Linked DNA regions of Neodiprion lecontei. The protein of the gene in region 1 purifies or fractionates together with the protein of each later gene. This does not show direct contact. Links are inferred from orthologs where the notes say so. Each region holds a gene or a part of one and is shown in the gene's direction. Other genes may lie near its edges. The genes, in order: mitotic spindle assembly checkpoint protein MAD2A, E3 ubiquitin-protein ligase RNF8, anaphase-promoting complex subunit 7 and anaphase-promoting complex subunit 1.

Region 1 (3,546 bases):
GAGCGCTTATCCTGGAAGTCGAGAAATTTTATTAGCGGACTGACAGCTACTGAATATGGGCTTGCGCGAGAAACGAATTGAAATAATTTATTGTAAACATGAACCAGGAACCACGGAGCGCTTATCCTGGAAGTCGAGAAATTTTATTAGCGGACTGACAGCTACTGAATTTGGGCTTGCGCGAAAAACGAATTGAAATAATTTATTGTAAACATGAACGAGGAGCCACGGAGCGCTTATCCTGGAAGCCGAGTTTTACCGCGTAGCGGACCCGAAGCGCGGGATCCGGAAGGTTGAGAACCCGGTACTCCAAATACGTAGCGGACCCGAAGCGCGGGATCCGGGAGGTTGAGAACCCGGTACTCGAAATTTGCGGAGCGCGACTCTCATCCGTCCGCTCTACTGCGCGGTTGTTTCCCGACTGAGGAATTCGGCTAGCTGATTTTGAATTGGTGACGTCACTTTCTGAACATCCGACATCCAAACTATGGTTTCGAACTTTGATACTATGTATGATGATGTATGATGTACGATGTATGATGTATGATGTATGATGTATGATGTATGATGTATGATGATATGATATGATGTATAATGATTTTAGCTTTCACATTTCATACAAGAAATACGCACTTTATCTCTCCTGCCGATTCCAGACTCAAGCGGCCAGGCCCTTCGATCGTCAGCCGTTGACTGAAGATGTATTCTTCAGTGAACGGGTCGGCTAATAACGCTGCCGTTCTGCGACAGTTGGATGATGAAAAATTTCGCTCGTATCTTTCAAATGTGTGTTAAAATACACTCGAAGTGTTAAGAAGCGTCGTTCTTTCTCTCCCTATCACCTTTCTAGGTCTTTAAATCACTACGCAGCGTTAAATACTGTCTCATATACGGAGCATCCATTTCATATCGATCAAAATTAGCGCATCCATGATGTATTACACTTACTCTGAATTTTTTCCCATATGTTCACTTTTTGAAAAACAATTCTGCTTCTCTACCCAACGTAGGTATTTCACTTGCGACTAGCTAATACAGCGTTTCGATTCCATGCCTACGAAAATTCAAGACCGAAAGATCATATGAAAAGTTGTCGGAATAATTATGAATATTAATATTATGGAATACATGGTGGAGCAGGAGGACCAGGAGGACGAAGGTGGTTAGGGATGTTCGGAAATGGTAGCCGGTGGTAGGCGCAGGTAGGTGGTGGTAGGGGTTGGTAGAAGGTGGTCGGGGATAATAGTAGGTGGTCGGTTGTTGCCGGAAGTGGTAAGTGGCGGCAGGGGGTGGTACGAGGTGGACGGAGATGGTAGGAAGTGTTTGGAGGTGGTTGGAAGTGATCGGCGGTTGTCGTGAAAGACGACGAAGACGCGGACGACGCGCCGTGGTGCGGAGGAGGAGGACGGCGTCGAGGTGGACAAGGAGCACGAAGGTGGTCGGAGGTGGGAGAAGGTGGTTGACGGTCATTGGTGGTGCTCGGTGGTTGTATGGTAGTTGTCGGCGGACGCGGTTTCGCGTCTTCTCACGGGGATGATCGAGCCGATCGACATTTTTAAGTCGCAGTCGACAAGTAGTCTTGCGTACTCACTTTGTACCGACTCAATCTCATGCTGCCATACCGACACTACTTCGGCTGTTACGAATGTCGGTGCGAGCCCGTTGGGTAGAGTCGATAGAGCAGAACCCTCCTACGCTCCCAGGCCTACCTGCGCCCATTTGCCCGCCGAAAACTGGTCACCAAATTTTACCCAGGGGTATCCGTCATTACATTCTTCAGTCAACGGATCCGTGGCTTGATCGACATTAATCATGTAGAGAGTCTGCCGTCTTGTACCTTGTACGCTATGGATACCAAAGGTTGGGTGTTGCGATTGGCTGACAGGAACGGTGAGGGGTTCGAAGTTGCCTCATGAGCTACGATTGGTGCATTTGAAAAGCTACCCGTGATTGTTTCTAACCTCATGAAAGTATTGTTTGGTTAATTCGGCTGATGTGTGGAGGCTTGCAGTAGCTAGTTTTATTATTGTCGGCTGCGACGGTGATTGGGCCCGTCTCTCATAATGACAGAAACGCAACAAAAATCGAAATGTATTACTCTAAAGGGTTCCGCGGAGTTAGTCGCTGAATACTTGCGTGAGTATCTGAACTCATCTTTTAACAAAAACTGTCACTTTCCAGCTCTTTGTTTTGGATTTCATTTACTGTTGAACCGTATTATAACGACTCGGAATCGTTGCATTATTACAGATTTCGGGATCAACAGTATACTTTATCAGCGGGGTATATATCCACCGGAAACATTCGAACCGGCGGAACATTTTGGTTTGTCAATCCTTGTCTCTACGGATGAAAAGATAAAATCTTTCTTAAACACTGTCCTCGGTCAAATCGAAGAATGGTTACTACAAAAGAAAGTACAAAAGGTAACGCTTGTCATAACTAATGTAAACACTAAAGAGGTACTTGAGAAATGGGATTTCAAAGTTGATTACGAAGGATCAACTCCAAATGGCACCGCCACCGGCAACAAAAATATAAACCACTCAGAAGTTGGTACAAAGGATACGAAGACCATTCAAAAAGAGATCCGCGAAGTGATACGTCAGATAACAGGAACAGTCAGTTTTTTGCCGCTACTCGATTGTCTCTGCTCCTTTGATATACTGACATACACAGTTCCTGATTGTAATATACCCACCGAATGGGATGAAACCCAGCCAGTATTTATCGCCAACAGCCAGGAAGTGCAACTCAGGACTTTCTCTACATCCATTCATAAGATGCAGACCATAGTTAGCTATAAAAACGATTGATACCAATGATACAGTACGCTTTCGTACACAAGTGCTTATTATTGTAATTTTTATTCTTCATATTCATTCAATTGTAATTATACTCTTTCAATTGCATCATATTTTGTATTAGACTGTAATGGTCTCCTTGATTGATTAAGGACAACAATAATTTTTCAAATAAATGTTTTTATATACTCTCATTTACTTTTCTCTCTCCTCTTTTCATACCTAACCTCACGGAATTCCTGATGTAGTATTTATTTCAAAGAGCTAGAAGACACTGGTTTTGGATGTTCTGAATTTCTACTGATTAGGCACAGATCACAGCATACTGAAGTTGATGTACATTCACGATTTCCTAATCAATTCATTATTTTAAGACTTATTTGTATTTTTGTTTAGCTACTTCGTTGTGTAGATCAGTCTTGCCAATAAGACTCACGGTCGCTACTCTCCTTTTTTTATATCACACTTTTAACGAGATAGTTTTGGCTGCATAATCACTACTCATATTCCTGATATTCATTGTGCGCAGTTTGTGGAAATCACTTGAAATCATTCGTAACCATCTTCGATCCATCGAACAAGGTATAAAGAATTGTTCCAAATGATTCACTCTGACAACAAAGTCGATGATAAATTCGGGAAACATTGAAACATGATCTGAATTAAAAGTTTATGAATTCTGTTAAAGTGTACAGCACCAAAAAATTGAGTAACTCGATATAACTTCATTTCGTATGCGAAT
Region 2 (7,993 bases), on another chromosome or scaffold:
TGGCCAGACTATGGACAAGAAATATAGAAAAAATTGGTTAGTCTATTGATAAGGGTTACGTAAGACAATAAACAATTGGTACAGTTTTGTCAAAGGAACAAAAATAGTCGCAAAATTACTCAAACTGAGCCTTAAAAGTTATTTTGTTCCCATTGTAAGTTGATACAAAATAACTTCAACTAACTAACTAATAGAACTTTAAAACAGACAAATGATTCTAAAACTGTGCTTAGATTATTTTCTAAAAGACTTATATGTTGTAATTATAAATTAATTATTATTAAACTGATCAGTAATATTGTATTAACTTGAAAGACATTCTTGTTATTACAATCTCACCAACTGAACTAACAACAAAAACAACAAAAAACAGTGTTAAACATATCTTACCTTCTCCCTTTCTTGGTACAAATAAATTATGGAAGTGGCTGATTATTTTACGTGCATAAAAATTTGGGTCCTCGACAATGGGTCTTGGTACAGAAATTTTTGGCGATGAATACAGAGCAGATAGCCATTCGCAATAGACATTAACACAGTCTCTGACAGTATCATGCTCCGCCAATGGCAACGAAAGTCCGAAGCAAATGACTTCCATACACCACTGAACTTCTCGATCCGTAGTCAACGGGCTGTGCTCAGCTGCCTGTGTTATGCCAAGATTAGTAGCTAGCTGACGAACGATCGAGAGCGCTACTTCTCGTCCAGCTACAGGGTGGAATTTTTTTAAAACGCTCTGGCTGTCCTCTGAGCCATTCTGAACCAGTGTGCTCAGGGAGGCCCATTCTGAATACATTCCTCCTCCAGAATCCTGTGCAGAGGTAAGGTTACGATATGAAAATAAAAACATGGTTATTAAACTCTGAAACGCATATATGCGATGTCGTGATATTTAATTTTCTACGAGAATATCGTTCGGCCGTAATTTCTCCATTGTTAAAAGACATCATTAACCTTTCGTTTGCTATCTCCGACGATTATTTAATAATTTACCGAGATCGAGTTTCTTGGCCCAGTCATTATTGAGGTTATACATGCAACTTTGACAAGTGTCGGGCTTTGCATCAACGATAGCCTACGTGTCAAACGTAATATCGAATGCTGGACTGTGAGGCGTATAAGTTACCTTGAGATTAACCCTGTTGAATACGCCTAAATTCATAGATTACCATGCGCAAGTATGACGTACGATTGGAAAGGAATAATTAATTAACTTCCTACTCTGACCTGTCAAACTCAGCCAGAAAACTTCGAATATAGCTCGTGTAGCTGAAAAGCTGGTAGTAGCAACGCAAACCTAATCCGAAATCCATCCACCTAGCGGTAATTTGGCAAAAGTAACTCTGCGCGCAATGCGCATGCGCACTAGCTGATTTGCTTCATGGGTATTAACAAAACTACGAGCCTAGAATAGAAACAAACTACGAGTGTGGGCGAGTTATCAAAGATAGGTGTAAATGATGAAACAGATTTTTGGTCATACAAATTTAATCCGAACAATCAACTCTTTGTAATGAAAAAAATGAGAAAACCTGTGGACGTCCAATAAATAAATGAACCAAACAAATCTGATCATTAATCATTTTAAGTGAACTACGCATAAGACTCTGGGTTGAGAACCAGTATTTGAGAACACAATTTTGGCTTTCTTGTTACATTAGCTTTATTCAAGGGAGGACGGGTAACTGAATGATTGGTACACCTGGATGTATCACGGATAATGAGTTATCGTTTATTGAAGAGTTCAGAGGTAAGTATCACGCGGTTCTTTTTGCCACCGCTCTGGCTGAGTGTAACAGGTCTTGCTTTCTTGGGCGCGCGCGCGTGGTGAGTTCTCGAACGATCATTCGTCGCAGAGACGGAACGTCAGCGTCTGCTTACGCTGCCGCTTACGATCTGGGGCGCTGCTCTCAGCTCTGACGACGGGCGAACCTGGTCGTTGTCCAGAGGTCGCCACACAATAAACTTCCGCTGGTTGCGCATTGCCAGAAATTTGCTGCAGGTGCATTGACAAAGATAAACAACGGTATTTTAAGTTTGATGCATAACTTCAAGTACATTAAATCATAACGGTGTATTTATCGATTCAAAGTGGGATAAGTGAAATATCAGTGAGGGTTCAGAATTGCGTTAATTCGAAATACTACTGATAATACAAAAGATTTAATTCGCTGTGATGAAAGGTTATCGTTTCGGCGATAAAAAAAAGAGAGAGTGAAATTTTTCACTTCCTATGCTGCACGAGCTGCTTTTGTTTACATGAGTTTAGCTTCGGTAATAGGATAGTGTTTTGCAGGTTTTGAAGCAAGTTCCCTGAGCGATTCTTCGTTCCCAAAACAAAGCACGCAATGTTATAACATGAATTAACCGATGTTGATGTGATATTCGGCGTGTTTTTGATAATTAACGCAAGATCGGCTGCGGTCGCCATCAAGTTTTTGAAAATTGTCAAGAACATTCATCAACCACGATGGAAGAACAGGAAAGTCATAGTTCGAAAAGAAACATGTCTGATAGTCTGGAGGCCGTGCTTGTCAACGTTGAAAATACCGATCCCAGTAGTTTCATTCACATTGACAAAAATGAGGTATTACAGTTGGAATAACATTACTCACACTATAAACTTCACCAGCTTCTTATTGGTGTCAGGAGTTTCATGCACGAATTTTACCATGTTCTATCAAACACTCACTCACAAAAGATTTCCTCATCTTTGAGCCGAGCAGTTAGCTTTAATATATTTCAGTTCAGTTCTATTTCAATCATTGCATGTCATAGAACCCGTGTTCTATTTTTCATAGGTTAACAAATTGCCGAGTATATATATTCTTTTTTATATATATGATTTTACCACCAAATTATATCCTTTTTGTATACATTATACAGTTACGACAGAATCGATAGCATGATTTATACATCATGAGCATTTCCCATTTTCTCGCAGTTTAAAATAGGTAGAGGACGATCGAACGACGAGATACTGGCTAATATTTCGATATCAAGGCAGCATTGTATTATCAAACGCTCAGACGTTGGCGAATGGACGATACAGGATTTCAGTACGACTGGTACTTTTGTCAATGGGAATCAGTTGGCACCAGGAGAAATACGGACGATTAAAATAAATGATTCTGTACGGTTTGGTCCGATGTCTGAATTTTTGTACAAAGTGCAACTACTCTCTAAGAGTGAGCCGCTCACCAAGAAGGCGAAGATGTCTGTGCCAGAGATGGATTTACAAGATATTGTTATGAAGCAAAAGACTTTTGAAGAATCGCAGCAAATGGAAAGGGATAATCTTGCGGAACAAATGAAAGCCAAACACAACGAGCAACTGGAGTTGAAAAATGAACTGCAAAAGTTGTTGAACGAAAGAGAAGCGGCAAAGGGAGTGAAGGATCATTTAAACAATCAGATCAACATGCTGGAAAAAAATATAGAGGAAGTCAAACAGGCCGAAATGAATCTTGAGAAACTGAATCGAGAGTTGTCGGAACGATTAGATAAGGAGAGGCAAGAGTTTGAGACAAAATTGAACGAGGAGAAAAAGAAGCTGGAAGAAGCCTTGGAGATTAGTAGGAAAGAAAAAGAGATGTTGGTCAATAATATGAAAGAACAGTTGGAGAAACTGAAAAATGAACAACAGATTGAGTGCAAAAAGCTAACCGAGTCACTCAGCGAAGAAAAGAAAACTGCTGAAAAATTACAGAGTGAAAAGGTTGAAATCGAACAAAAACTTAAGGAGACGGAAGATGCTTTACTCAAGATAGAATCAAAAGCCAATGAACTTCAAACTACTCTTGAAAAACAAAATGGTAATTTTATCTACTGTGGAAAGTATAGTTGAGTGGGTACGATGGGTAAAATAGATTAAAGTCATTTCTTCATCTCAAATCTGGAGTAAATGACTAATATTGAAAAAATCGTGAATAGCCACTTCAGTTTTGCATAATTTTTCTTGTCCTATTCTAATGAGGTAATGTTGTTTTTTACGTGAACGCAAATTTCGCATCTACACATATTATAGTTGATTTTTTTTTTTTTCTCTCAAAGTTATTAAGAATAAAAATTGTATCCTTTTTAAGTTTATTATGAAATTGTGGCAGTGTTAATCTGAAAAAAAAAATCAAATGTTTCTTGTTATATAATTTAGTCATGATTATTTTTCAGCAGAGTCAGCTGCAAAAGTTGTCGCCCTCGGTACTGTGGCAGAAAACGTTGAAATTATTGATGAGTCACATCTGACGATTCTAGATACGATAGATTTGACTAAAGAAACACCTACGAAGAAAGCTGCTCCACCGAGCAGCACAGTGTCAGCTAATGAAGACGTCTTCAACAAAGTTGGCGATATCATGGATGAACAGTTGACATGTAGTATTTGTTCAGAACTATTCGTAAAAGCAACAACACTGAATTGTACTCACACATTTTGTCAGTACTGCATAGATACTTGGGAGAAGAAAAAGAAAGAATGTCCGGTGTGCAGAACGGCAATAATTGCCATGAATCGATCTTTGGTTTTAGACAATTTCATTGACAAAATGGTGGAAAACTTGTCAGTGGAATATAAGAAACGAAGGACAGATATTGTTGAAGAACGGAGAGGTAAACTCGGCCTTCCTCTATCTGTTGTAAAATCTAACGCCTACCAGTTTTGCACTGTATTATAATTTGTAAAATTGTTTTTAGTATAAATTACATACCTTTTTTTCCAAAACGGTGGGTTTTATTGATTCTATTAGGTATTATTGACTTTAAGTAAAGGAAAATTAGTTACAACCATCTGACAGTGAATGTCGGTGGAACGATTAGTATTTCCAAATCGTATGCTATGATTGATTTATGATAGTGTATCCATCATACGAAATCTGTTGAAATTTTATACCACAATAAACTGGTAGGTGGTGTAATTAATTGTACTAATCTTATTTATATAGAATACGATACATCAGAAGTCGAAATCAAGATGCCATATATCCTACATTTTTCTCACAGCTTTAAACTAATATTTTTCAGAATATGAAAGGGCAGCAAAGCAACCGGCGAATCAAGCACGTGGAAAGAAAGGTCGAGGCCGAGGTAGGGGAGGAAACGCGAATACAAATACTAATCGTACTGGAAATACTTCTACAGCAGCGACTAGGTCAGTAGGTCAGTGTGTAAATTCATCACAATAGATACTGACATGAGCTTTTAATTCGAATCGCATTACTACGTAGGGCGATGTATACATGTACCGTTTATTCATTCACATTGAGTAGAGTAGAAATTTCTGGTGAATTTTTCAAATCGACATATACTTGTATTACCCATCTCAATTTAAAAAGACGCCATCTACTGAAATGTTGAAATATGTAACCAACCCATGAAAAATAACCACCTTGCGTTTGAGGAGTTCGAAACTTGTATTCATGATTAGTTTCCTTTATTTTTACGTATAATCGAAATGTGCGCCAGCCTCTTGGTGCTTTACTTTTTTCGTGAAAACAATTTAATATTCCTGATGCTTTTTTTAATTTATTTTTTAATGGAATTTTCATTGCATGTATAATATACACACTCAAAATCTTTTATATTGTACTTCTTACTAAATATGGCTTCCCTTTGTCAATAATTAGTTAAAAAATTAATTATCGTTATGACAGTCTCGTGTACTTTAGATTGAGATTTTCACATGTTTCGACATGGCTTTGTTAATGTTATCTACATCCTGAAGTTGATTTTACTTGTTGAAAAATGTTTACATGTAAACAAGAATGATAGTTACCATATTATTCAAGTTTGTAAGCAACTTTCGTCTGATTTGGCCAAGTTATTTCTCCTTATTAGAATTAACATATCTAATTGTGTGCCTGTTTAAGAATATGTTCGAACTTATTATTGTTTTTATATGAACGTGAGACTGTACGTGGTTTAGTAACATTTCCTGTTACCTAAGTTTCACCAGCAATACATCTATGACAATATTAAAAGGTTTTCATAATCGATATACTGTATTTTTCGAATTAGACCCTCGGGACAAAAAAGAGATTTTATTCAAAGATAAACCGCATAACTGTATGAAAATTGAATCATATAACTATGAAAATATCAAGCGATTAAAATTTATCTGACAGTCGGACAGCCGGTAACAATCACATCCCAGGCAGGACAAGCGGTAGCAATCCGGATTGGAACAATGCCTCAGGGTCAAGCGGTCAACATCGCCAACAACGCTCAAGTAGTGGTAGGTGTAAAAAGAAAGGACCTCATTACCCTGCAGAAATTGTGTTGTGCTGTTCCATTCTATTCTAGGAAGTAGTCTTACCATTCGTTGATGAGTACTGAAGAGCTTTCTTGGAATGTACATATGTGTTATGGTATATTCAATGATTGGTACAAGATGTGTACCAAAATGTGGTTTCAGTAAGATGAACTAAAAATGGGGTTGATTTTTGATAGTATTTGAGAAAACACAATATACGTTATTTATCAGTCACTTCAATTTATATTTATTTCAGGTGGTACCACAAATCATGAACAGACACCCGCATCCACCCAGGGTTCAGGTAATACAACCCAACAGACCAACGATGATGATGACGGTTCAACGTGGAGCACGTCGACAGGTATATACAATTTTCTATCTTTATTGACCTGGCAAATGAATGGCACACAAATACCAATTTTTTTGGATTGTGTTTGCAACAGACGGCGACGGTGAGGATACCAACTCCCTCTCATCCGTCTACTCCTATAGTCAGACCTCTGAGGATCCGGAGAGCCACTCCGGAAACATGGACATCTCAATCGACTCAGGTATGTCCGATCCTGTGTATAGTATGTGTTTTCGAACTGAAGGATTTAAGGCTGAACCGTTCATGATTAAAGTATTGGAATGAATTTTTAAAGGATGAGTCAGTAATGACTCATTCACTATTGAAATTTACGGTTTTGAACATTAATTTGCATATTTTTTCGGCAAATAATTAAAAAGATGATTAAAAGGGTGTATTGCCATTTAGAAATTTTTTTTATGCGATACTTGCAAGGCGATTAAGGTCTCTTTCATGAATCTTTTCTCAATGTCTGACTTCAGATGGCCACAGCAGCGACGATAGCTGGTCGGGAATAGTCGATGGATATGAGGATTATTGGAGCGAACCACAGGACGACTATATAGAAGGTCGAATTGGTGCCCTTTACGGTGGATATGGTAGTTGCTATTCCTGCGGAAACAGGGGGCATTGGGCTCCGGGATGTCCATTCACATGATTTTGTGAGATTGACAAGTGACTGAACATATTCTAGAAACGATTTTGAGGTGTATGCAATATTTATCATTTTCAATCCACTCGATTGAGTAAAATTTCGTTGCTTCGTTGAGTGACTTATGGACCAGATTTATTTGGGTCATTTACGAATAGCATTATTATTATTATTGTCATTAAATTTTGATGATAATATTAGTTGAGCACTTACTGCCGAAAATTATACGCAGTTATTTAAATCTCATCAATCTCGTTCATCCCGCGATATTCCATATTCAGTGTATCAGCTATAACCGAAAGTACTCGGAAACTTTCGAAAAGCCATATTAATAATTTGAATGATATCTATTTTCTAAGTTCAGACATCCCCGGATATTGATTAACGTTATCGAAATTATTCTGTTACAGTAAGTTCGTCAGTAGTGTTGTCATTATTTACGTATAGGGTTGATAACAATTTTGGAAGGTGAAATATTCCCGAAAACTTATAAACGTTATCATATTTAATTTTGAAAGATTTTGCAGAAGAAAATCGTGCTCATAAGAAAAAAAATTAAAATTCAGCACACTGGTTGTACAAGGCTTTGAGATGATTACTTTTCATTTCTTGGATTGCAGCAGCATTATAACTTCACTGTACATTTTACAGTGAATGAATACAAAACTTACTGCTGGAGAAATGAAATTAAATTGAAAAATAATTACTTGTATACAAATATTACTTTTAAGAACTTTGCTCC
Region 3 (4,984 bases), on another chromosome or scaffold:
TATTCAGAGGTCAGAGCTTTTCCCGTGAAAGTATTCGTGGTATTCGTATATTATATTATTATTATGGCAAGGTGATCAGCTTGATCTACATCGGCGTGATTCTGATATAATCCTTTATTTACAAATGACATTCGCAACGATACTGGAAATTCGGTTTACTTGCCATGGAATAATATATTCTATTGAATATTTTATTGGCCGAATAACAAAAGAAAAAAAAAACAAATACATACACTTATATCCATTAGTCGTTCGATATAATTATATCACGATTTATGTATGCACATATTCCAACTTACTTTCCCTATGGTTTTCGTTTACTTGAGACACGAAGTGACGCATGCGGTGTTGATAATTTTCAATTTATAAGATTATAGCGGATTTTAGTAAGAGAATAACACTTCGTATTTATTCGAGACTCGAACATAATCCGGAGGAGCTTTATGTAAAAAGTAATTAAGCCCACCTGTTACACCGCTCGTTGCCTGCGGTAGACTGAAACTATGCCAAATCTCGGCTTCCTTGAAAGTGAAAGGATAACGCACTACGTGTCCTTGATTGTGCTGTGAAATTCATGGCATCCACTCTGCACACCAATCACCGTACTATTTTTTATCGCCATCTAGGTATGGGAAAGACATCTCATTATGACCCAATAAGCCATATATCGCGACATACAAATATCATGCACATAGGATTGCGATAAGATTGGAGTCTTTTTTTTTTTTCTATCACAATTTTCATTATGGTTTGAAAAATGCCGCGTGCGGATTACCGATACACGATTCAATTACTATTATTTACAAGTGGTAAGATATTTTATTTGATTCCATTCGTCCGTTGCAGTAAAATTGTAAATTGTTTGGTACGCTATACTTTGTAATGTACGTATTTTTTAAAAATTACCCGAGGTGCAACGACTCATCGTACATGAAAATTAACGCTTATCTAATCAGTAATGATATACGGATATATGAATGATATGCTGCGGGGATCTATGTTCACATTGTTCACCTATGTCTGTCTGATTGTGAGAACACCTGATTCAGTCTGTATCAGCGATGTCATCTGCTATAGATACATATGTATATAATATCTGATTTCGGCAGTTGCGCAAAATATGTATAACATTCCCGTATATTCAGCGTACGCAATAAACCATATTATTAAAATAATACTACCGGATGTGAAAACTTGAGTTATAGTTTAAGTACAGTATGTGACCCGTCGCAGAGTAATTTCTTATGGATCGAGCAGGAATGTAGGGCAATGTTACTCGTGAAGGTCACGATATAAAAGTTTTATCGATCATTACAGAGCGTACAATAAACTTGTAAATAATCTATAGCCCAACGAGTTTAGCCGCACAGTATTTAGGTTTTATGTAAAAAGATGTGACATATTTTATATACTAACTGCTGGATGTGCTTTTATTGTTTTTGTCAACAGCCAACGTCATAAGTTTGTAAGAAGTTTTGATGAACGATATTAACGGCGTTTATTGCATTTCCAACATTAAAATGCTAGAATCAAGCTAGAATTAGATTTGTCGAAGAAACCAGCCATTCAAATCTCGCGCTAGTCAACAGATGTCGCCAATGTTTGACGGGTGCTTTAGGCGTGCATAAGTATATGAATTTGTAAATGTGGGTGGGTGAATAAGAGGACACAAGCCGTCCGCTGTCAAAGTAGTATTTATATAGATCTGTAAAAATGTCGAGTTTATACGAGCAGATAAAAATGTTGTACGATCAAGAGCTGTATTCAAATGTGATCGCTCTAGTGAGTACGAGCTGTGACTTAATGTTGATTTGTTGAAACTAACCTATAATGCAGAAAATTGATGGCGAGAAAGAATTTGCCAGTGTAAGAGAAATGCATGAGGATAACGTTCAGCTCTTCTATTTCTAGGCAAATTTCATTTTATCGCTAAGCGATCACAACAGCGAGCTTCTTCCACCGCAGGCAAAATTCTTAACGTATGTCCATTGTGCTGATTCGTACTTTCATCTTTCCAAGTACCGGAAGGCTGAATCGCTGTACAAGAAGTCCTTGCAGTTTCGTAAATGCCTTTTGAAATCTAAAGGTGCTACTAAACCGCCGCCTGATGGACAGAAAGAACTCATGTCGGACATAGACATTAAATATCAAATACATTTGTGCTTGGTCAAGCTCAAAAATACCCAAGAAGCCTTACAAGTTCTTCAGGGAATACCTGGCAAGCAAAGATCCGCAAAAGTAAGAACTTCTTCATCCTTGAAAGTAGAAAACTTTTTTGCCATCTATTATTTATGTTCGGAAAATAAATTTTTAGGTGAATATGGCTCTGGCAAAAATGTTCCAAGAACAAGGAATGGAAAGATCAGCAATTACGACATACAAGGAAGTTTTACGAGAATGTCCATTGGCTCTTAACGCAGTGGAAGGACTCCTTGCTCTGGGTGTAAAAGGGATCGAAGTAAATTCCATGATTGTTAACTCTATAACCAATTCACCAAGTCTGGAGTGGTTGAACATCTGGATCAAAGGACACGCACATATTCACAATCGTGAATACAGTCATGCAATCACAGCATTCAGGTCACTCGATAATGCCAATTACTTTAGAGACAATGTTACCTTGTTAATAACAATGGGTGAATGTTACTATTTTGCTGGTGACGATAAAAATGCCTTGACGTGTTTGCGACGGGCCAGAACTATAGAACCTGATTTGACGAAAGGGTTTGTAAAAATTCGTTTCTGGATTCAAATGATATGTGTTCAATGATAAGCCTGATCTGTTTTATTTTGTTACTTTTTTAGCCTTGACATATATGCCGCTGTGTTGTACAAGACGCAAAACACCAAGGAGCTTGAGAAATTAATCCCAGCTATAACACAGACTTCCGAATACACAGCTGAACAGTATATAGCTATGGCTTATGCTTTGTACGCTGCGCGAAAATTCAGTAGAGCAAGTACCCTGATTGTACAAGCGATAAACCTGAGCCCCTATAGTATCGAAGCAATTATATTATGGGGAAATATTCTTATCGACCAAAAAAAATATCAAGAGGCATTGCACCATTTTAGGAAAGCTGCTCTACTCAAACCACATAGATACGAACCACACAAAGGACTCGTTGATTGTTATGTTGGAATGCATAGACTTAGGGAAGCATTGAATATCGCCAGTACAGGTTGTAAATTACTGGGACACACGCCTCGGGCTCTGACGGTACGCCATTAGTAAAATACTAAACTGTATGTTTAAACAACAGTTTTTGAGATTTGACACGATGACTTATGTAAAAATATTATGTTGCAGCTTTATTCGTCGGTTTTGATGAAGGACCCTGTATCAGTTGGCAAAGCGAAAAACTTGTTGGAAAAAGCATTGAGTCAAGAAGAGTCATTTTTGCCGGCTGTTTATTTGTTGGCTGAAATATACGAACAGGAGATGAACTTAGAAGCTGCTATTGAATTACTTGAGAGACAAGTAGAAATATTACCTACCTCTAAATTTCATCAGATGCTTGGCGATTTGTGGGCTAGAATTCACAATCAAGAAAAAGCATTGGATCATTACGCCATCGCCTTGAAGTAGGGATGCAGTTTTAGTTTCACAGTGTGCTGATATTTTTATCTGTACTGTTACTAACCAATTCATTTTATCCCATTTGTTTACAGTTTAGATCCATGTAATCGACGGGCTCTGGAAGGGCTGCATCGGTTAGACAGTACTTCAACGAAACTGGAATCGACTTATTATATGACTGTAGGTGACGAACATGCAGATACAACTTATGATGTTGGAGATGGTTTGCCAGATACAGACAATGACGAGGGAGCTGACGAAAGTGAAACAGAAGCAGTTTGGTCTGACATGGATCTGGAAGCGAATAGTCAATAGGGTAACTTACAACCAGAGTGATTGAAAGTAGTTTGTAACTGAAAATAATGAGCATTTCTCATTTTTGCGGCAATGATTTTCCTCTGATATTATATAACAATGAAATTATGAGTTCTTTATCAGAGAAATTGTCATCCCGCATCACAGTACTCCTCGGAAATTTTTGTTCCATACTTCTGCAAAGACTGTTGAATTTCAACTGTGACTGACGATATTCTTTAAATCATAATAATGCGTGCATTTTTTGTAAATGTACGAAACTGTTTATGGAGTAGACAAAATGACGAGTTCCTTTCTCCTATATGTAGTACAATTGACAAATGAGTACTTCGATCATGCAAGAAAGAATTACGCAATTCTGGGAAGCACCATGTTTCTCTATGTTTATGTTCTAATGAGAACGCATCAATCATGTTTATAGAAAGAGAAATTCTTACTTTATTAGCTAATTTTTCGATGTTGTTTTCTTAGTACAGAATAAGCAAAAAATTTATTCAGTTTTGTGTGTACCACAAATAAGAATAAATTAAAAAATATGAGTACGTAGTTTGGTTACCATATAGAATTTCTGTCTCCCATTGAAAACATTTTAATAACCAAAGTCTACTCGTAAAGAACTAGTAATGTAGGTAATTGAGTAAGAAGTACAAAAAATAGAATCGTTAATTATGTATTTCCCACACAGTATGCCTAATGAAACTTTCATAACAAAATTATTTCAGATCTTTCGTATAAATAAGTAACAATTTTACAAGTAAATAATAATTAATGAAGAAAGTGTGCATCGAAAAAATATTTACAACTATGTCATTCGACATAAAACATGTCTATTATCTAAAATTAGTTGACTTGATATTCTTAAATATTTTAGTCGATCAGCTGTGCTTTTGCTTTTCAAAATTTGCTCGTAAATATTTAAGCCCAGCAGTAATCTTGTCTTCGTTTAAGATATGCTGTGGTTCTTGACTATCAATATTATCCGACATGCTGGTGTCAGCTGATCGTTTACTTGAATCCACGCCAGTTATTGAGCTCAACAATGTAGAATCCGGTAGATGATATTCCATAGGTAAACAATCGCGATTCGGG
Region 4 (4,843 bases), on another chromosome or scaffold:
TGTTCCAGAGTACATAGTGCCCCAGACGCTGAAGAGGATAGCAGGAATAGGGAAAAGAAAACGAAAATTTGACAGGGAAGTTGCAGCAACTGGGTCGAGTGCTAGCAAATCAAAACACTTAGCCAGAGCTTCGAATCCATTAATCAGTCTCAGCATACCGCGAAAAAAGTAAACCAATGGAATTGAGTGAAAAAATTACGAACTGTTAAGAATATAAGACTATAACGATACTATATGGTTATTATATTTTGAAATACAAAAACGGAATTGATCGGAGAAAATTAGGCGATGCTGCTTTTTTTTTTACTGTAAATATTTTCTTAAGATTTATTACATATTAGCGGACCATAAAATTAGTAGCTTTGCAAGTATTAAGTAAATAATGAGATTTGCTAAATGCATAGTTGCAAAAATAAATCAGCCGACCTCGGTTTTGTGAAGTGAAAGTATTGGAATATTACTACTTAGGGGCCGTTCTGGGCTTGTACTTCCCTCTGATATTGTCATTCAGACCTTCCCTGTTTCTTGCCAACTCAATAGCATAGAATTGGATTCTGGATGTTAGTATGCTGTTTTGTTCAGAATATTCTCCATCACAATCCGCCCTTACCAGGGTGCCGAAACTGTAGTCTTCTACAACCTCCTTGAATTGTTCGCAAAACGGCCTCCACTTTGCTTTTCCTTCGGGCGACTTAAGCTCATCCTCGTTAATCTTGTCTACTTTAAAGTCTGGAAACGATTCTCTGAATGATTTGTAGATCAAATCATCGTGCGGTGTCAGTCTTAGGAGCTTAGGATCCACCGAACATAATATCTGGAAATGAAACAGTGTTTATAAGCTGGAGAAAAATGTGCATAGATATTTCGGATGAAAAAATTCTGTTACCAACGTTAAAGTATATCTCTGCGTGCTCATACGCCTTGATTGCCCACATTGCCTCCACTGATGGCTGGAATAATTTTTGGACGGATTAAAATTGGTCAGTTTAGAAAATCTGAGAAACATAGGACACTTTAGGAGTCTGGTAATTGAGTTTGAATGAATTATTTTTGGCTTACGTCATTGTCAAACTCCTCGGCAGGCCTGGACAGAACGCTGCTTCCTGCTATCAATTGATCAGCTGTCTGTATCGTAGGGTAAATTATTGATGATTAGTGTTTCTTTGAAATGGGTACGTAAAACAGTGAGAATATCAAATATAGGTTATGCTTTGTACAATAGGTTTTCAGGTATTGTAAATCGTTGCAAAGGCTTGCAGAATGATATTTTTTTCAGGGAAATTAAAATCAGACTACATTTTGGTTGTGATCTGACGATAAAATTCTATAGAACGTATCTGAGCGTCATTATTTTACTTACCACATCACCCACATGTGCCATGTTTGCGCGAATGTTATTGTTATTATAATTATATCGTATATACGTCGAGAGTCAAGTTTGGGAGCGTTGCTTCGAACGGATAAAATTTGTTTAATTCAACTGAAATCTCTTTCCAAATTTTTCTACAATCATACAAACAAGATTGATTGAGTTTTATTCATCAATTTTGTGACTGTAATTTTCTAAGAAAGAAAATATCACGCGATGCACGAGTTCGAGACCTGACACTTTACATAAACTGACAGTTCAAAAACCTTTCTTATAGTAAACCATCGTTAGAGTAAACCGATTATTATTATTCTTCCCCCTAACACGTACACTGATAACGTGCTAAAAATAAATTTTGTGACAGCTACTAGTGTTTACGATAAAATAATAAACAAACTTAGCAAATCTGGATGAAATCGGGGAGAAAATGATCGCCGCTTCCGATCCGCTGGTAAGTTTACTCAGTTTGTTTCTTTTAGGTTATGTTATGTTAGGTTGGGTTATCTTTGCCGGTCGTATATTGCAAAAACTTTGAACGTGATGTGAGCTATAATACGTTTCAGGTCCATTCTGTATCTTAGTCGATCCAACTTGAAAATTATGCAAAAAATTATTTGTGTTTTTACAAATATTTCACGATTTCGTTTTCTGCCATGTTCGTAGCAAATTCCGTATCGTACGATTTCGTTCACGGCGTTTTAAACTGAATACTTTATTGTACTTGCTAACTAATTTCAAATAAATAAATTCCTTATCATGTTTCAAGGAATATGTCCCAGGAGGACGACAGACGATCTTGCGGCATCCAGGTTCTGTCGTTGCCCAGCAATTGGCCAGCAATCAAACTGCGCCAGGAGAGAGTTTCATTTTACAGAGGCTCAGTCAAGTGAATATATCAGAAAAAACGCCTGTAAGCCGTTGAGTATTTTTGAAGGAATTGGGAAATAAAGTTAAAATTATACTCTCTTATTTGAAACAATTAACGAAACATTCAATTACAGCAAGAATTCTGGTCTGTTAGACAAAACAAAACTTACGGCGAAGAGGAATTGTACTGCTCAGGAAAAATTGCCGTTCACTCTAAAGGCAGCGGGTCTACGAGGTCGCTTCAAACTTCATACTCGTGTGACAGTGACATAAAGCATGCTCTTTGGTGTGTGTTTCACTCGACTACACCAGAAAATGTTCCTAATCAACCTGACTTTAATGAGCCTAGCGGGAGCCCCATTGAGTGTATTTGTCTCCTGGATTCATATAACCTGAAGGTTTTCACTGAAACTGGAGAAGACTATGTATCAAGCTTACAATTTCAAGTGGGTAGACAATCTTCGATCTGTTTGGAAAAATTTATCATGTGAAAATGTAAAATATTTCGATTTCATCAATTGATTTAGGTATCATCAGTTTGGGCTACGAAGTTTGGAATTTTGTTGGAAAAGTTCCCAGCTCCTACCACAGTGTCGAGGTAATTATACTCGTAGCTATGCAAATTAAGTCAACAACAGTACATGCTGTTACATTTACTTAGGTATGCCTCTTTGGAAGCGAGCAAACTGGCGGCGCAAAATGAAAACCAATTACCCACAGCATTTTCTCTCAAGCATCCGTTGGACGAAATTTGTCCTCTGCTGCTGAAGCACGGTGAATATTAAATAAATATGGAACTGATAGTTAATCCGAAGTTAGTAATGTTATTCGAACTACGCAGTCTGGGAAATATCGTAATATTCCTCAATTTTAGAATTGTCTCCAAATACAATAAACCGTAATAAAGCAAACCATTCTTATTTTTCGAAAATACAATTACTTTAGAGTCATTTTGAAATTGCAGCGTAGTAATTTTTCCCAATGTTTCGTTACGTCAACGTTACTAATTTCAACTTCGTAACTAGTTTCAGTATACACTTACTGTTAATATTATAAATTAAATTTTAATTTTTGCAGGTAGTCTCTCGTATATGTGCGATTCGCATCAGAAAATAGTGTTTACAAGTTCTGAACCATCGCTAGCTGTTGTCTATGATACCCGTACTGGCCTACATTCAGTTTATAAAATCCGTAAGGCTTCGTCTGACGAGTGTCATGTCGTTTGTGGCAATGACACTACACCTAGTATTATTTTAAATCACTCTGCAACTGGCTCACCTCTTAATATCGGTAGCAATCTTTCTACCAACAGAAGCTCTACTAGCAAAGCTCACGTCAGTATTTTTGGTGAGTTCATTGGTTTATATGAAATATTGAAAATGTCAATATCATCCTTAAAAATGTCTTGTTTTGTGCCTTTTCTACCACTCCCAAACAGGTATTCCTAACTTGCAATCAAGTGGTATTGGTATGGGTATTAGTTTGGCGGGTGGCGGAGTAGCAGCCACAAGCCCTTTTGCATCTCGTGCGGCGTCATATACGACAGGCTCTGTCAGCGGGGCATCGCCTTCGCAGCAGCAACATTCAAGATCTCAGAGTCCGATGGCTGCTATTTCAAGATCTGAATCTCCCACGACTTTCTCTCCGTTATTGGGAGGCCCTAGCAGCTCTATAGCTCATCAAACTAGATTACATCACACAGTGATGGCAACGATTTTGGGGCAGTCGCCGAATAGTCCGAGTAGTCCTTGCAGTAGCTTGCATCTTCAAGATCCCATGGCCAGTCCTAGTAGGCCTCTGTATCCTGAACTTTGCCTGGATCACGTATGGACAGAAAATGTTGGAGTTTCAAAGTGAGTATTAGTGTTCAAGATCTTGTATCAAGTGTCGAACCCCCTGCTCTCCTACCAATCCTCCTATTTTTCCCGATATCCCATCTAGGTCTTACCTGTGCTTGCAGTTCCTTTGGACCTTCAATCAGAAGTGAGTTTCTGTATTAACTTTGTTTTGGCCATAGTTTGGAATTTAGAAGCAAATGTATCCACCCTGAAAAAAAATAATGATCTCAGTGATTATGATGTTAAGAGAAGTAACAAGCATATCTTACTCCGCTTTAATTTAAGGGATGTCATATCTGGACCTGCATCGAAGGTTTTATTGACATCGGATCTTGTCGGTCAAAGTTATTTGGGATATTTAGTACCGAATAGATCTCAACTGTTTTTGGTACGACTTGAGAAGTCAAACAAACAGCAACAAATTATTTTCGGAATGGTTACCAGTATAGTTGCAAAAGATGCTGTCAGTTTGCCGGTGAGATTAATGAATATGATTAATTCAAAACAATTCCATATTTTTCTCCATGTCAGCACAAATTTATATTTGGTATAATTTGTTTTGTACCTATGATTTTTCAGAAACTTCACATGATTGTGACGGTAGATTTGTCCAACGGAGTCGCACTTTATTCCGGAGTGACCTGCGTAGGCAAGGTTCATATTGCTGGAGTTTTGTCTCCTCTGTCAAGTTCGAACTACTATCTTCCAAATTTTGCCCAAAAACTTGGTAGCTCTCCATTTCCACGCAGAAGTTCATTGATCAAGCCAA

What was found.
Region 2: the proteins of mitotic spindle assembly checkpoint protein MAD2A (region 1) and E3 ubiquitin-protein ligase RNF8 purify together in Homo sapiens (co-immunoprecipitation; 3 studies listed by BioGRID and IntAct, with this or other methods). This does not show direct contact. The link is inferred for Neodiprion lecontei from reciprocal best matches to the Homo sapiens genes MAD2L1 and RNF8.
Region 3: the proteins of mitotic spindle assembly checkpoint protein MAD2A (region 1) and anaphase-promoting complex subunit 7 purify together in Homo sapiens (affinity purification with mass spectrometry; 3 studies listed by BioGRID and IntAct, with this or other methods). This does not show direct contact. The link is inferred for Neodiprion lecontei from reciprocal best matches to the Homo sapiens genes MAD2L1 and ANAPC7.
Region 4: the proteins of mitotic spindle assembly checkpoint protein MAD2A (region 1) and anaphase-promoting complex subunit 1 purify together in Homo sapiens (affinity purification with mass spectrometry; 3 studies listed by BioGRID and IntAct, with this or other methods). This does not show direct contact. The link is inferred for Neodiprion lecontei from reciprocal best matches to the Homo sapiens genes MAD2L1 and ANAPC1.

Annotation. Positions count from the first base shown.
Region 1 is NC_060260.1:24,019,875-24,023,420, reverse strand, and holds mitotic spindle assembly checkpoint protein MAD2A, read left to right. Parts: upstream 1-1,876; 5' UTR 1,877-2,063; coding exon 2,064-2,136; intron 2,137-2,250; coding exon 2,251-2,816; 3' UTR 2,817-2,998; downstream 2,999-3,546. UniProt on the Homo sapiens protein: Component of the spindle-assembly checkpoint that prevents the onset of anaphase until all chromosomes are properly aligned at the metaphase plate.
Region 2 is NC_060262.1:38,840,265-38,848,257, forward strand, and holds the start of E3 ubiquitin-protein ligase RNF8, read left to right. Parts: upstream 1-1,960; 5' UTR 1,961-2,470; coding exon 2,471-2,587; intron 2,588-2,944; coding exon 2,945-3,815; intron 3,816-4,170; coding exon 4,171-4,608; intron 4,609-5,019; coding exon 5,020-5,146; coding exon of another isoform or gene 5,147-5,154; intron 5,155-6,119; coding exon 6,120-6,229; intron 6,230-6,503; coding exon 6,504-6,611; intron 6,612-6,693; coding exon 6,694-6,801; intron 6,802-7,081; coding exon 7,082-7,257; 3' UTR 7,258-7,993. Other genes in the region: ral GTPase-activating protein subunit beta, read right to left, coding at 1-8, 391-811, 994-1,065. UniProt on the Homo sapiens protein: E3 ubiquitin-protein ligase that plays a key role in DNA damage signaling via 2 distinct roles: by mediating the 'Lys-63'-linked ubiquitination of histones H2A and H2AX and promoting the recruitment of DNA repair proteins at double-strand breaks (DSBs) sites, and by catalyzing 'Lys-48'-linked ubiquitination to remove target proteins from DNA damage sites.
Region 3 is NC_060262.1:35,033,252-35,038,235, forward strand, and holds anaphase-promoting complex subunit 7, read left to right. Parts: upstream 1-1,639; 5' UTR 1,640-1,713; coding exon 1,714-1,782; intron 1,783-1,911; coding exon 1,912-2,238; intron 2,239-2,314; coding exon 2,315-2,724; intron 2,725-2,805; coding exon 2,806-3,220; intron 3,221-3,310; coding exon 3,311-3,585; intron 3,586-3,672; coding exon 3,673-3,895; 3' UTR 3,896-4,437; downstream 4,438-4,984. Other genes in the region: coiled-coil domain-containing protein 174, read right to left, coding at 4,771-4,984. UniProt on the Homo sapiens protein: Component of the anaphase promoting complex/cyclosome (APC/C), a cell cycle-regulated E3 ubiquitin ligase that controls progression through mitosis and the G1 phase of the cell cycle.
Region 4 is NC_060265.1:30,811,824-30,816,666, reverse strand, and holds the start of anaphase-promoting complex subunit 1, read left to right. Parts: upstream 1-1,796; coding exon 1,797-1,820; intron 1,821-2,135; coding exon 2,136-2,279; intron 2,280-2,370; coding exon 2,371-2,682; intron 2,683-2,763; coding exon 2,764-2,834; intron 2,835-2,897; coding exon 2,898-3,010; intron 3,011-3,313; coding exon 3,314-3,583; intron 3,584-3,674; coding exon 3,675-4,089; intron 4,090-4,359; coding exon 4,360-4,549; intron 4,550-4,653; coding exon 4,654-4,843. Other genes in the region: probable ATP-dependent RNA helicase DDX56, read left to right, coding at 1-172; protein PBDC1, read right to left, coding at 461-814, 891-950, 1,060-1,125, 1,361-1,381. UniProt on the Homo sapiens protein: Component of the anaphase promoting complex/cyclosome (APC/C), a cell cycle-regulated E3 ubiquitin ligase that controls progression through mitosis and the G1 phase of the cell cycle.